Linked DNA regions of Canis lupus familiaris. The protein of the gene in region 4 interacts with the protein of the main gene of each other region in a pairwise test. Links are inferred from orthologs where the notes say so. Each region holds a gene or a part of one and is shown on either strand. Other genes may lie near its edges. The genes, in order: SWAP70, ATXN1, BMERB1 and RAPGEF4.

The links.
Region 1: the proteins of RAPGEF4 (region 4) and SWAP70 interact in a two-hybrid assay, tested with the Homo sapiens proteins (2 studies listed by BioGRID and IntAct). The link is inferred for Canis lupus familiaris from reciprocal best matches to the Homo sapiens genes RAPGEF4 and SWAP70.
Region 2: the proteins of RAPGEF4 (region 4) and ATXN1 interact in binary tests that used the Homo sapiens proteins (3 or more experiments, as listed by UniProt). The link is inferred for Canis lupus familiaris from reciprocal best matches to the Homo sapiens genes RAPGEF4 and ATXN1.
Region 3: the proteins of RAPGEF4 (region 4) and BMERB1 interact in binary tests that used the Homo sapiens proteins (3 or more experiments, as listed by UniProt). The link is inferred for Canis lupus familiaris from reciprocal best matches to the Homo sapiens genes RAPGEF4 and BMERB1.

What each region holds. Positions count from the first base shown.
Region 1 is NC_049242.1:33,564,611-33,568,434, reverse strand, and holds part of SWAP70 (switch-associated protein 70), read right to left. Parts: intron 1,078-3,824; coding exon 931-1,077; intron 1-930.
Region 2 is NC_049256.1:17,160,796-17,165,166, reverse strand, and holds the start of ATXN1 (ataxin-1), read left to right. Parts: upstream 1-1,428; 5' UTR 1,429-1,669; intron 1,670-2,644; exon of another isoform or gene 2,645-2,903; intron 2,904-4,371. UniProt on the Homo sapiens protein: Chromatin-binding factor that repress Notch signaling in the absence of Notch intracellular domain by acting as a CBF1 corepressor. Binds to the HEY promoter and might assist, along with NCOR2, RBPJ-mediated repression. Binds RNA in vitro.
Region 3 is NC_049227.1:28,502,960-28,506,619, forward strand, and holds the end of BMERB1 (bMERB domain-containing protein 1), read right to left. Parts: intron 2,998-3,660; coding exon of another isoform or gene 2,963-2,997; exon of another isoform or gene 2,948-2,962; intron 2,061-2,947; coding exon 1,948-2,060; 3' UTR 796-1,947; downstream 1-795.
Region 4 is NC_049257.1:17,573,403-17,577,226, reverse strand, and holds part of RAPGEF4 (rap guanine nucleotide exchange factor 4), read right to left. Parts: intron 3,657-3,824; coding exon 3,510-3,656; intron 2,262-3,509; exon of another isoform or gene 1,642-2,261; coding exon 1,526-1,641; exon of another isoform or gene 1-1,525.

The DNA.
Region 1 (3,824 bases), on a different chromosome or scaffold from region 4:
CTGTGAGAACCACCAACACCTGATGGAGACACCATGCTTTGGCCTTCCTGAGCACAGTGACGGATACATGAACACACCACACCCCTTACAGGAACCCTGGAAGGTATATCCACGTTGTTTTAACAGGTATTGACTCCAGCGCACCATGAGGCTTCTGAGCCAGGGTGATTTCCATACCTGCCTGATGCAGATACACTTTCTTTGCACCTGAGATATTACTGCTAGCAAGCTATAGTTCCTGTCCTATATCCTTATAAGTAGACTGGTATGGCCTATGTTAATCTCGTGAATCTCCACGAATCTAAGACCCCTTAGTGGCAGTGCACACCCTGAGACATTAATATATCTATACTATTTCATCCATCAAAACACACTCATTTATAAGCGAGATTTTAGGTATTTTAAATGTTCTTCAACAAATACAGTTATGATAGTTCCGATATAAATCAAAAACTCAAAATGTATGTTTCTTGAAGACTTCACTTTATAGAATTAACAGCTATTAAGTAAGGTGTCCTGAAGGTCACCTAAAATATTCAAAGGTAATACTCATATTTTCTTTAGTTTTATTTACTGTATTCAAAATGGCCCAGAGTTCCTCATATATTCATGATTTCAAACCCTGTCTTACTGATTTTTTTTTTGCTTTTTTTAGAACTCCATTTTATTGAATAAGTGTTTCCTTAAATGTACAAATAAATCTGACTTAATCCCTATACTTTGTTCATGAGACAGAAAACAAATTCACATTATAAAAAAAACTTGTCAGGGATCTTTGGTTTTTGGTTCAGGAAGTTTGGCAACTGTACACCTATACTATTTTAGAAATGTAAATTTTAAGAGTATTTTAAGGTTCTAAAGACCAGAAGCAAGATAAAACACTTGAGCAGCAGGGGGCAGCATCAGAAAGTGGTAACAGTAGATTCTTACCTCCACACAGCAGTTTTCATCCAAGAGAATGTCTCCTTTCTTATCTTTCAGATCCTCACTCACATAATAAGAAATTATGTTGGGTTTTAGTACAAACCAACGTTCAGTCCAGTTTTTCCGTCTGTGGCCTTTTTTCATCATGTAACCCTATGAAAGATTAAATCTGATATAAATGCCTGGCCTTTTACTTTAAGAGCTAATATCTCTTCCTTGAATACACAAGTATCAGTGGTTCTTGACCTTTATGGATCATGAACCTATTGAGGACATAAAGGCCAAGGGCACTAAACCCAGTCAAATTCACACAAATACGTGCACACAAAAGTTTACACAGAATTCTGGATATGCAGAGACAACTGTCCACTGCACTCGCCATCCCCTAGTGCTATATAGATAAGTAGCCTTAGAACTCCTGGTGCCAAAAGCATTGTGATTTTTTAAAATTCTTTTTTTTTTTTTAAAGGAGGGAGAGAGAATCTTAAGCAGGCTCCACACCCAGCATGGAGCCTGACACAGGGTTCAATCTCATGACCCTGAGATCATGACGAGCTGAAACCAAGAGTCAGACACTTAACTGAGCCACCCAGGTACCCCTAAAATTCCTTATCTTTTAGGGATGTCTATTGAATTATTTATACATAAAATGACTGTCTGGGATTGTTTCAAGGTATCTTGAAGGTATTAAGCAAGTAGGAAGAGTAGGATTAACCATGTGTCAGTGGTTACTGAGGCTGGATGAATGGTATATGTGAGTTCACTACACTATTCTATTCTGATTAAAACACACACACAAAACTCTAAGTGATTGTCAGTAAATTAAAACCTCAACGAAACGCAAATTTATCTTTCAACCAACCAATCACCTTCTGGCACCAACCTCCCCTTCTACCTGACCTCTCGCTATTCTGGAAAAAAGAACTCTGCTTCAGATGAACAGAAAAGGAACTAGCAGGATTCTGGCTCCATTTTTTTTTTTTTTTAAAGATTTTATTTATTTATTCATGAAAGGCACAGGCAGAGGGAGAAGCAGGCTCCATGCAGGGAGCCCGATGCGGGACTTGATTCCCAGAACTCCAGGATCACGCCCTGAGCTGAAGGCAAGCGCTAAACCACCGAGCCACCCAGGGGTCTCAGGATTCTGCTTCTAAATGTAGCTCCTACACTCACACTTCTAGGCCTATACTTCCTTCACTCATATTAGTCACAAAGGTGATATGACTGATAAAGTAAAAATTCATATTTTCACTTAAGCAAAATGACACATTATCAGCCAAAGCCCTTCAGGGTTGTTTGAGAATAGCTGGGTTTTTTTTTCCACACTTATTTAAGAGAAAAGAGTGTGCACGTACACAAGGGGGTGGGCACAGGGAGAGATAATCCGAAGCAGACTTCCCACTGGGCATGGAGCCTGAAGCAGGGCTCAGTCTCACAACCCTAAGATTATGGCCCCAGCTGAAAACAAAAACCAGATGCTTAACTGACTGAGCCACCCAGACACTCCAAGAATAGCTGACATTTTAATCATCAAATGTGTAAGTGCTAATAACCAGTAGTAGATCATACATAACCATTAAATATATATTAGCTTGCCATATTATTTAATTATTATACCAAGTTCTAATCATATTACTTGTTCAGTTCCCTATTCCTTGGACATTTAAGTAAAAGCTATCTCATACTAAAATTCATCTGTAGTCAGATTATCCTGCTATCCTGGTGGGCTTACAAGTCTTTGAACAGAGACCATGTCTCATGCCTTGTTTTAGCACTAAAAACCTACACAGGGATCCCTGGGTGGCACAGCGGTTTGGCGCCTGCCTTTGGCCCAGGGCGCGATCCTGGAGACCCGGGATCGAATCCCACGTCGGGCTCCCGGTGCATGGAGCCTGCTTCTCTCTCTGCCTGTGTCTCTGCCTCTCTCTCTCTCTCTCTCTCTGTGTGACTATCATAAATAAATAAAAATTTTTAAAAAAAGAAAATTAAAAAAAAAACCTACACAAATGAAACCTCAATTAATGTTTATTGATGGGCTCAATTAGGAAAAAAGAGTAAAGACAACATCTGCTGAGTAAATAAAAGGCCAAAGTAAGGAAATCTCAATTTGGAGTTATTATTCAGTATAATAATTAAGAAAGGGCAGCCCCAGTGGCACAGTGGTTTAGCACCGCCTGCAGCCCAGGGTGTGATCCTGGAGACCCTGGATCGAGTCCCACGTCAGGCTCTCTGTAAGATGCCTGCTTCTCCCTCTGCCTGTGTCTCTGCCTCTCTCTCTGTCTCTATGAATAAATAAATAAAATCTTTAAAAAAATAATAATAATAATAATAATAATTAAGAAATTTGTAAGATCCACTAAAAAATATATAAATTCTATTTAACAAGCATCAAGCTTCCCATATGTATATCAGATGCTATGTGGGTCATAATCTAATAAGTATAATTTTGCTACATAAAGGTATTTTCTCCCAAAAGTAAGGGTATTTTTCTGATTTCATAAAAATATATAATCATATACATACATTCATGTATAGAATCATATATAAAGTAGTAAGTCCAATAATTAAAAAGGAATAAAGAAGAAAATAAAATTTACAGAGATCCCACAATCCAGAGACAATCACTTTTAACATTTTCGTGACCATTCTTCCAGATAGCCCTACACGCATATATCACATTTCATGAGCAGGGTTACAAGATACTTCCTACTGAACAACTTGTGTTTTTTTCTCTGAATAATATGCTATGAGGATCTTTCAGATCAACAAATGGATGTACACATGACATGAAAGTACTTTAAAAACAGAAATGTCATTTAAACAGTTCTTTCAAAATAGTAACTTCTCAATGCGTAAGTGTACTTCAATATTGCACCAGTAACTTTTTTAAATGAAAGCCT
Region 2 (4,371 bases), on a different chromosome or scaffold from region 4:
ACCGTTAGGTCATAAGTAAACTCAGCCAAAGGTTTCTCCCCATACAGCTTACAGTCAGGAGTGGTGGCTTCCAGAGAGAAACTTATGGGCAGAGATCATGTTTCCAGACACTCGGGCTCGAAGCACCTGAAACAGGTCAAACGCTGCCCCGACACCTACTGGTCTTCCAGAATCATCTGCAGCAAGCACGCCCGCCCGCCGCGCTGAGCTCCCTCCAGCACGGATGTCACTGCGCTTCCTCCAGGTGCCACACCTGTTGGCAAGGTGCACCCCTCGACAGCAGGCTCCTCGCCACCCAGCTAACACCTGGCGGCGGCACGCGCGGAGGGGGCGGGGCGGTGGGCCGCGGGGACCCGCGCCGGGGGGCCGAGCGCGGAGGAAGTTCCCCAGCGTGGATCCCCGAGAACTGCCATTTGACGTTCGGTTTGCTTTCTGTGTCTCCTGCACCGGTTACCTCATTTCCGATTAAATTAATGATCCGAATGAGCCGCGAGAGCAGCGCGCGGGTCGTCTTCCGAGGCTGGGGCTGGGCGCTACCGAGCGGATTTCCAGACCTGCAGAAAGCGAAACGGGGTGGGGGGTGGGGGGTGGGGGGGTGGGGGTGGGAGGAGGGGGCACCCGCTCCGGCAGGCGGGAAAGGTGACGGTGCCCATGCGGGCGCGGGGACCCTGCAAACTTTCCCGAGTCGCACGCAGAGGCAATCCCCGCAGCCCCGCGGGCCCGGTTCAGGGGCTGAAGCCGCCGCGCGGCGATCCGAGTCTGCCCCCTTAGACGATTCTCGGCGCGCCCCGGACCCAGGGCACGTCGGGATCACCCTCGCGCCCCCTCCCCTCCGCCTGCGGGCCGGAGCCCGACACCCCCCGGAGCGCCCTGCAGGCCGCCGCGAGCTGCACCCCGCCGTCCTCGCCCCGTCCCCCTCCAACTAGGTGCAGGGACCCGGGGAGGCGCGCGAGGACCGACCGGTCACCGCTGAAATTACCTCATCGCTTCAGCTCCCCGCCCCTTTCCCAAACCTGGAAGAAGCGTCCCTCCGGCCGGAGGCGCCCCCCCCGCCCCCCGCTCGCCAGCCGGTCGCCGGCCGCGCGCCGCCTCCCGGGGCCGCCTCCCCGGGCCGCGCGCAGCCAAGGGTTAAGGGCGCCGGCCGGGCCGTCCGCCGCGCCGTGCGCTCGCGCTGCTCCGAGCCGCCCGCCGCCCGCCGCGGGGCCCCCCCCGCCACCCCCCCACCCCCCACCCCCAAGTCGGATCCTTGAGCTGCGGCGGCGGCAGCCAACTGCTCCATATTTGGCTTCTATTACACATTTACATACTGGAGCGAGCGAGCGAGCGAGCGAGCGCGAGAGAGCGCGAGGGAGGGAGGGCGGGCGGGCGGAGGGAGGAGGGAGGGGAGGGGAGCGGGGGGGTCGGAGGAGGAGGAGGGCGAGGAGGAGGAGGAGGAGGACGAGGAGGAGGAGGAGGAGGACGGGGAGGAGGAGGAGGAGGAGAGAGCAGAGTGTACCGCAGACATCATTTCTACTACAGTGGCGGAGCCGTACAGGACCTGTTTCACTGCAGGGGGATCACAAAACAAGCCCCGCGGAGCAGCCGCCAGAGCTACAGCAGCCGCAAGACACTGTTTCTCTCCCTCTGCCCCCCCTTCCCCACGCAACCCCAGATCCATTTACACTTTACAGTAAGTGGCTATTTTTTTCTCCTCTGATTCTCTCCTCCCCCTCCCCCATCCCCTTCGCCCCTTATCTAGATTAAAATTGGCCCCTACCCCCGCTCTCCAGAGAGGGGCAAAAGCAACAACCAGCAAACAAACCCCAAACCCCAGTCGCCGGCACAGAAAACAGCTGGAAGAGGAGCGAAGGAAATCGACGCGTCGTGCTGTGTCGTGTGTGTGTGTGTGTGTGTGTGTGTGTGTGTACATACCGCCTTCTCCCGCTCCAGCCTCCCGGGCCGACACCCCCGCTCGGGGCGCAGGGACTGACGGCAGGGGGGCTGCCGGGCCGGTGGGCGCCCGCCCGGCGAGGGGGCGCGCCCGGGCTGGGGGTGCGGGAGCGGGAGCGGGAGCGGGCGGGGGAGCGGCGGGGCTGCCGGGCCGGCCGCGAGTGCGGAGACCCGCGTCCCCCTCCCTGGAGGCGGCGGCGGCGGCGGCGGCGGCGGCCGGGGGTCGCGCTGCCCTCTCGCCCGCCGCCCCCTGCGCAGCCCGGGCCCCCGGGAGGGCGGCGGAGCCAGTGGGTCCGGAGGGGGGCCGGGCCTCCCCCCCGCCCCCCGCGAGGGCCGCCCGGCCCCTGAGCCCGGGGCGGGGGGTCCCCCGCGGAGGCCGGCCTCGCCCGGCGTGTGGCTGCGGCCCGGGACTCTGCGCGCGGCCGGGCGCCGGGCGGTGGGAGCGCGGGGGGCGCGGAGGGGTGGGCGCGGGGGGAGCCGACGTGCGGGTGCCGGGAGCGCGGCTGGAGCGGCGGCGGCGGCGGCCCTGCCGCCTCCTCCTCCTCCTCCTCCTCCTCCGCCGCCGCCGCCGCCGCCGCCGCCGCCGCCGCCGCCACCGCCGCCCTGTTGGTGCGGCCGCTTCCTGATCATGTGCAGCCGCCGCCGCCCGGAGCCCGGAGCCCGCGAGCGCCCCAGCCCGGGCCGGCGCCCCCGCCAGCGCCCGCGGCGGCAGCGGAGGAGCGGCGCCGGGAGTGAGCGGCTGCGCGGCGGCTGGGAGGGTGAATGAAGCCAGGAGGAGGGGAAGGAGGAGGCGGCGGCGGCGGAGGAGGCGCTGCGGGGATTGGGATGCGCCCTGGAGCCCCGCTGCTCGCTCACTCTGGGCCGGGCCGGAGACTCCGCCACTCCCGCGGCCGCCGCCTCCTACGTGGTTCCAGCGCCGCGAGCAGGCCGGTCCCGCCGGGGGCAGGGAAGGGGCCGGCCGGGCGGAGCGAGAGGTGAGGCGGCGGCGTGAGTGTGAGTGAGTGCGTGCGTGTGTGAGTGCGTGTGCGCGCGCGTGTGTGTGTGTGTGTGTGTGTGTGCGCGCGCGCGGGTGGGGGCGCCGGGGCGGGCGCGGGGGGCAGCGGCCCCTCGCCGGCCACTTGGCTGACTCCGCGGCGCCCCGACCCCTCCCCGGCCCCCCGCCCTCCCGCCGCCTTCCGAAACTCCGGGGCTTGTGCTTTCATTTTATTTCAGACCACGTAGGGGGCTGCCTGGAAGCGGTGCAACAATTCAGGTTTTCTAGGGAGACCGAGCAAAAGGACCTTCGTGGGGGGTGGAAGTAGGGTGGTGGTGGAGATCTTGCCAGAACACAGCAGCAGCAGCAGCAACAACAACAAAAAAAATCAGTTTCCAGGGACCGTGGGGTTCGGTTCAACCCTGTGGCTGCTCTGTGTTGTTGTGCTTTCTTAGTATATAATCCTGCAGATAAGAGGGTAATATAAATACTTCGGGAGATTGGGAAATTGCTGAAGAGTAGTAAGGGGGAAAAAAAAAAAAAAGCCAGTCGGAAGCTGGTTATATAATGCGCGATGTGGCTAACGAGAACGGCAAGCTATTTTTATTTTGTTTACCGTATGCTGTGCAGTAAGGGACTCCTCCAAACTGGTTCTGTCCCCGAAGAGATTCGTAGCTTCCCTGCGAGATCCGCAGGATACGATCAGTAGAATTAGACGACCCCCTTGCACCCGCAGAATAAAAACTACCGCCTTAGAGTGGCAGGCTCCCTGCGTGTCCCTTGGTGCAGGCACGGGAATGTGTATATGCAAATAAGCTCTCCTTTGGCAATCGAGTAGTCACATCTCAATGACATTTGTGTTTTGTAATGCAGGCTGCTCTTAATATTTAAACATTGTCGGTACATATCGCACAGAGCAGTGGGTAGTTACTTGATGGTTATTTTTAGGCAGAGCCAGTTACTTTTTCAATAGTGTTAGTTAGCTAAGCCATTTCTGTTTGGGTTTCTGAGGAGCCCTGCTGTTCGTTCCTAGAAGCCCCTGTGAGCCCACCCTGTGGTTTATTTGTAGTTTGATACTTGGACTTTTTTTTTTTTTTTTTTTTTTTTTTTTGGTGGAGTGAAGCCTGTGCCTGAGGAAACCAGCACCAAAGAGAAGGTTGAGAAAATCCTGCACATGAACTCTTAGAAAGGGATTGCACCATAACAGCTAATGCTGTGGCATTTAATCTCCTCTGATTGTCCTCCAAGTGTGCGTGCCTCAGTCAATATTTTAGCAGCTCCACAGACGAACAGGCTTGGAAGCCACCTTCCATGGACAGCAGAGGGTGGAGGGCTCCCCCGAACCTCCCGGCTGCCTGTCCTTCTCATCCTGTAGATAGTGTCAGTGGTGTAGGCTTTCCCTGCACTTACTCTGGCCCTGATCACTCCTGTAATTAGATCAGGCTGCCATGGCAACAGACAGTGTTCCT
Region 3 (3,660 bases), on a different chromosome or scaffold from region 4:
GCTCTGGGGTCCTCAGTCAGAGATATTTGTGTCAACTGCAAAGCTGCTGTGACTTGAAAGACCTTCAGATTAACTTTTGATTTACAAATATTTTTGAAAAAGGTGACCTAAGAACTTTACTTTTATCTTAAGGAAAAATCAGAAATTCAGATACAGCTCTATCCCCCAGGGTATTTATCTTGACATTCTTTTTTTTTTTTTTTTTTTAAGATTTTATTTATTTATTTGAGAGAGAGAAAGCATGAGCAGGGGAGAAGCAGAGGGAGAAGGAGAAGCAGACTCCACACTGAGCATGGGGCCCGATGTAAGATTCGATTCTAGGACCCCAGGATCATGACCTGAGCCGAGGCCCAACCCAATGAGCCACCCAGGTGCCCCATGACATTCTTAATAATACTAAAAAGTAGAAGCAATCTAAATGTCCGATAGTAAGATAAGGGTTAGATAGATTATGGCATAGCCACGAGATGGATTACTGAGCAGCCGTTGTAAATATTTGTGAGGAGTGTTTGTTACAAAGAACTCTTGATGACGTGGGAAAATGATAGTGATCTAATGCTCAATGAAAAAAGAAACTGGTTATAAGATGATACAATATGATGCCGGTTGTGGGAGGAAAAAAAATGCATGAAAGGAAACCTGCCAAAAGGGCAGCATGGTCTCGAGCTGGAAAATTTGTGGGAGATACAAACAGAAAACAAAGAAACTTCTTTATACTTTCTATACTTTTAAAAGGTTTACTATGTACATGGATGACTTCCATAATCAAGAGAAAAAGTAAAAAAACGTTAAAAATGCTGTGTACGTGGTTTCCACTTTTATTTTCTCCGATGGATGATTGCACATCAGCGAATCTTGAGTTAGGCTATGTTAGGCCGGTCACGACACGCACACGTACAGAGAGGTCACACGGGCTGCGCCGAGCTGGCTGTAGCAAATGTACATCAAGTTACACAGGTGGAATTATTAAGCTGGTTGAAACACACCACCGACTGATGGGACACGGTTGGGTCAGGCCACCTCTCCCGCCCGCCGCCGCTGATGTTTACGGAGGTCTGTGTGTTAGGCTGGTGAGTGTGTCCTGTTGGCACTCCCTCCAGTGGCCCCCCAGTGGGTGGAGGGCACCCAAGGCAGCATCTGCTCTGGGGCCCCTTCTCAGCCTGCCCTTGCCCGGTGTTGGAGCCTCTAGCTTTCCGCTACCTCTTCCGAGCGCTGGTTGGTCTCCAGCCCAGGCCATCATCCCCACTGTGCTCCACACACCTGGGGCACACATTGCAAGGGAAGGAAGGGCCAAGAGCAAACGGACACACTCTCGATGTGAACCGTGCCCAGACACAGGAGGGGAGGAAGCAGGAGATGTAACCACGACACCACACATGAGCTCAGCCTTTACAGATGGGCCCTCGAGTCTCCATGGTGCTTGGGCTGAGTGAAGGCCTCCAGAACACAGCCCCTGGGAGGGGACAGACAGGGGGGCGGGAGCTGTGCCCATCTGGGGCTGGCCGGATAGCAGAGCTACGAGGGTGGATGAGGCATGTGTCCGACGTGGTGCTGGATTGTTGAAAAGTCATGACTATACACACCTGGGGATCGTGCCCCTCGTCCAGATCATTCGCACGGTGGGTTAGATATAGATAGATAGAAGTGGAGACATACTTTTTCAAGGAAGGATCTTTCCTGGTGGTTGGATAAACAGTGAGACAGACTCCTGGGTTTGGCATGCTCTGGGGGGGTGGGGGGCCATGCGACGGTGAGGGACTCCCTATTGCTACACTCTGTACAGGGCGGTCGGGCCCGCCCGCCACGCCCACGGCCCCTGGCGGCAGTCACAGGCTGGCCTTCAACCCCTTCCGCCTTGGAGAGCTCTCAGGCCCCGGTGAAATGGGGGCTATGAAGACAGGAGGGTGGGGGGGTCCCCGTGGCCCCGGGGGCACCCCACATGGGGGGCTACATGATATTGCACTGGGTGGCCCCACAGCAATCCTTGATGAGTGCCAGGCCGGTCTTGGCCACTGTGGGCTTGCTAGGTGGGGGCTCTGCTTTCTTCTCTGCTCGGGAGCCTGCAGCAGGGTAGGAGCGTGGAGGGGGAGAGGGAGAAAGGGAGAGAGGGGAAGAGGTGATATAAGGAGAGCCCCTTGACCACCTGTAGCCCCTGCCCCGTCCCGACCCCTAGCCAGGCTTGCTCAGCTCCACAGGTACAGAGAGCGGCTGTGTGTTTTTAGACGGTTCCGAAGCCTATTCCCACCCCCACCCCCCCATCTCACCCCCGACAATCACAGTCTTCAGCTCTAATCCTATTCAGTACTCTTTGCTATTGTATCTGCCACGCCTGGCACAGGGTCTGGCTTTCAAAGCATCTGGTGAACCGATAAATGGGAAATTTTGTCCAAGTCACTTTAATCTGGGGATTCATGTCTTTCAATCCCGGAAAGTGGCCATAACGTGATCTTTTCAGATACCTCCAACTCTCTTGTTCCCTGTTGCCCCTCTTCTGGAATGCCTATGAGAAGGAAGTTGGACCTTCCTATTCTCTCTTCCATGTTTTGGAAGGCATTTTCTATATCTTTGTCTCTTTGTGTTACCTGCTGGTTAAGTTCCTCAGCTCTGCCTTCCAATTTCTGAATTCTCACTTCAGCTCTGCTTAATCTACTGAGTTTTTACTTCTGTGACTATGTGTGTGTGTGTATATATATATATATATATATATATATATATATATATATATATATATTTTATAGAAACCTAATTGTTTGCAAATCTACCAATTCTTTGCTCATGGCATCCTGTGATTTCACTTTGGGTTTTATCCCTTCTCTTATCTCTTTCATCATTTTAAATACACTTACGATATTGCCTCTTTTAGGTAGTCTGTTATCTCTGATTCTTGGGAGGGCAGCCACTCTCCTTGTGGCAGCTACTGACTCCAATCATGGTGGTTCAGTTCTTCATGGGTTTAGAATTTTTATTGACAGCTCATCTTCACGGAGGTCGTTTTATCTGTGGGTTACATATTGCGGGATGCAGAAGTGTCCCCACTGAGTGGTTTTGCATTTGCTTTGCTGGAGTCCCAGAGATTTCACTGGTTTTATATTCGTTTTAATTTTTCAACTTTAGATCCCAGCACTAGATGATTAGAGTAAATTTGAACACTTGGCCCCTTGCATAGGATATAAGCTTGGTGTTTTGACTTTCTTGCCAGATTTCTTTTGGCTATCGATAACCCTGCATAAAAGGCAATTTTCCTTGCTCCTTCCCCACACTGCTAGGTGAGATTTTTCTAATTGGCCTGCCATGAAAGAGACAGTCCACTGAGGATGCTGGATTTAGGCAAGGACCCTGTGCCTTGTCATATTAGAGGCTTGCTGAAGGGACTTTCTTCTTCCTTTATACCCTTGCACTCTATACCACATTTCATGGGACATTAATAGATGGTCAGGGAAAACTGAATTTATGGCCATAGCAGATGGTGGTGGCTTTTGGGTTTCATCTTCCTAGCAAGAATTCCAGTCCCTTCTCTGTGATAACAGCAGATGTCCCTGTGGCTACAAGAGTAGGCATGCAACACAGATCTGGCCAACCATAGTATCCCAGCCTCTTGATGATGGTGATGGCCTAGGAAGTGGGAACATGATCCAAGAAGGTCCAATCAGAATATGCCCC
Region 4 (3,824 bases):
GAGTTCTGGATGGCAATTTATAGGTCTATAAGTGAAAAAGATAGTTTTTCATATTATCTGTTTTATGTCAGCCCTTTTGAAATATATTGGTCTGCAATGGTTACGTGAGAGTGTTGAGGATACAGTATTTACATCATGTACTTTGCTATTGTAAGCTTCATGGCCGAAAGCACAAAAGCACTGAAGTTGTCAAGCCAGACCTGATGCCAGCTCTACCACTACAAGCCCTGTAACCTTGGGCAAGTAACTTGCTTCTCTGAGACTAAGCTTTTCCCATCCGTTAAAAGGGGTTTGTTGTAAGGATTAAATAAAACATGCAAAATATATTATGGCTATTCAATAATATTGTATTTTTTCCCACCTTCTTTGAAAATATGTTGATTCATCCAGATGAAAATGCCTGAGCGTTGGGCTTTTAGTCTAAACAGTAAAAATTGGGATCCCTGGGTGGCGCAGCGGTTTGGCGCCTGCCTTTGGCCCAGGGCGCGATCCTGGAGACCCAGGATCGAATCCCACGTCAGGCTCCCGGTGCATGGAGCCTGCTTCTCCCTCTGCCTGTGTCTCTGCCTCTCTCTCTCTGTGTGACTATCATAAATAAATAAAAATTAAAAAAAAATAGTAAACAGTAAAAATTCATCAGTTACTGTGAGTAGCCTGATTAAAGGGAACACCCCATTTTTGTGGCAAACAAAAGAAAATTACTTAGGAGGCATTCTTTTTCAGCATGTTATTTGGTGACACTGTCTTTAGCTACAGAATTGGTGTTTCTATTATTCCAAGATTGAAGATTAATCTTTACTTTAAAAACAAGATTCCGCAATCTTCTACAATTTCTTAAAGCTACATTTCCTTGTTCTCCTGTCTTACTATTCAAGTGTTGGTACATTTGATGGGGAAAAAAGCCTCATGTGAGAAGTTGCAACAAAAGATGGGACTGAACACAGACATCTGAAAAAGGGATCAAGTTCGACAGGGAACCTGAGAGATGGGAAGCAAATATCCTTTTGATGTTAGCAGGATTGAGTATGGATAAGGCCAAATGGATGCTTCTGGGCTACAATCAACAGACTGTCTTATATTTGAAGTCTGCGTTTCCGGCAAAGATGCTCATTCTGATAAGATGAAAACACTTCTCGGGAAATCCTACACAGGAAATTCAAATACCAGAGGTTCTCATCACCTCGGGGCCTACCTATCCTTTGCGCTGCCTGGCATTCCTATTTCCATTGTTCTTCCCGTCTTAGTGTTCCAAAGCTATTACAGTTGAATACCGTATATAGAGAGCGTCTGTAGAGAAGGAGAACAGTCTCCTCTGAATTAACTCCAGGCAGCACCAAGCTCAACGCAGTGCCAGAAATGGATACATTATCCTCCACAAGATGTGTGATTAGTCAATAGAGAGAAAAAAAAGTCACACACACTGCCGTCTTCCACAAAAAAGGAGAGCATGCTATTGTAGAAATGATGATACCATGTGAAAAGGTTAATCATAGTCTGGCAATTGCAGTGTTGGATGCAAACCTACTTTTGCTGAGGCTGTGAGTTTCCTTGATTAGAAGCCCTGTTCCCTGCTGGGACCTTCTCCAGCACCAAGACATCTTGGTCATGTTCTTTAAGTCTGACTGTATTCGCCTCAACGTCCTGCAAATACAAATTACACCACATACAGATGCTGCTGTTTTCTCAGACAATGAAAAAAATTTCAAATGCTTCAGAAACTCATTTGGTGCTTGTGATGCTAATTGTTGCATCTACAAATTAAGTCATTTTCAAAGTCAGGGCTGGAATGGTCAGAGAGAGGACCAGATGAGGTTTGAGGCATGTGGTTTTAAAACTCTTTTACCCCAGATTCAGAAAAACAGCCAAGTAGAGAGGAGTGTGGTTGTGCTCTGAGAAACCTTTAAAAGAGGGGGCATAGCGGGAAGACAGGGAGCAAGTGCCTTATCCTGACAAAAATATGTGGCAGGTTTCTTCATTTTGATTTTCTTCTGAGGGTGTGTCATTTTCATAGGTGTGTACCTTTTCTCTCTCATCAAAAGGCTCTGTTTATTTTTTTTAAAGATCTGTTTGAAATGTATTAAAAACATTTTTCAGTTATTTTGGACAATTTTATAAATTGTATCAATAATGATCCTAATCTGATTCTTTCAGCGAATTATTTTTGGCTGAGTTGGAAATTTTGTGTGTATCAACTTCAAAGAGCGACTAAAGTTTACCTCTAAATTTCAATGTCATTTAAACAATTAAATTAAAAATCTTAATGTGCTTTTTTCTCATCATTTGGTCCCCACTTTAAAAGAGATCAGTTAAGAGCCAAGTCAAATTCCATGAGGCATTTTTCTCTATATTCTTCAATGGTATAATTCCAATTTAACTCTCCTTGCATTAAGAGATTGCATTCCTAAGACAAACTGTGTTGTCAGAAATTTTGCCACCAAAGGCAAATGCTTAAGGCTGTGTGTGAACAGGTGTTCATATATTAGGAATGGAGAAAGACATTGTAAATCATCATGAAGTAATGCCAAGCATATCAGAAAGCACAGAAACTGCATTTAGGACTTCAGGGTAGGACAGAAAAGGTACTAAGGCTGGGAGAGGCAGAGAAGGGAGTCTGCTCTGTGAGCCAGCAAGGAGGGAAAGAGCAAAGTGATCCTTGAGGGAACCATCTCTCAGGGTGAACTCAAGCTGGGGCAGGGTGGACTGCAGGCCATCTGAGAGGCCAAGGGTGATGGGACACTGTCATCATCCCCAGGAGTTCCAGGGGTTGTGTGTGTGTGTGTGTGTGTATGTGTGTGTATAGTGGGGAGTGGGGAAGATCAGGGACCATCTCTTCTCAACATCACCCACGCTCACAAATACTTTAATAAGCTTACATTAGGCGCATTTGCAGAGCCAACTGCAAAGTGCAATCTCATTTCTCTATCACCCCAATTGTTCTTCACCTACTTGCTAAAGTTTGAAATTCCTTTAGTGTGAATCAATTTGACATAAAGCACTTGAAATGAAAATGCTTGGTTGGAGTAACCATGACTGACGTTAATTCCCACTAAAATGTAATCACTCAATAAATCAGGAGAAGGCATGATGATATGAGAAAGGCTCAGTCTTGGGAAGAGACGGGAGGTGGGTACTTAGAAGGTCTACGATGGAGAAAAAGCTGGAGAGTGAGGGGGGAAGGACACAAACTGGCCAACCTAGAATTGCCAAAGAGAAAGGTCTCAGACTGACATCTGGCCAAGGCGCTCCCTGTTTTTCTTTAATTCTCATGGGCCAGGAGGGGTGTGTGCACTTATCTGGTCCAGCATACATGCCACATTTGCAGCTTTATTGGAATAACCGCTTTGGATCCTGGAACGCACACCGGCATACCAGGTTTGTAACCAAGGCTCTTTGTTCATAGAGTGTTCAGTAGTTACAGGACTAGTCAATTAACACCACACTCTAATCTTTGCTTGTCTAGCAAAAGGAAAAATGAGATGTGCCTCAGCCACACTTTGCCTTGGACTCACCCTTAGGATCCGGTTGAAATCCTCTTTGTCTACTCTTAAGAAGTGGCAATTATCTTCTCTCAAGACGATAGAAGCAGCTCTTGGGGCATCATTCACTAATGCTAACTTGCCAAAGTCATCCCCTTCGTGCAGGGTACACACCACGCCCTGGAGGAGCAGAACATTCAGATGAAGACGGTCCCTGAATCTGAGCAAACACCCACTCACCTCACGCCACAAGACCCCCTTTCCCCCAAAACACTGTATATATAAACGGGCTGCACCCAGGGATGCCAAGGGAGAGTTCTATAATTAGATTATAATGTTTTATTTTTT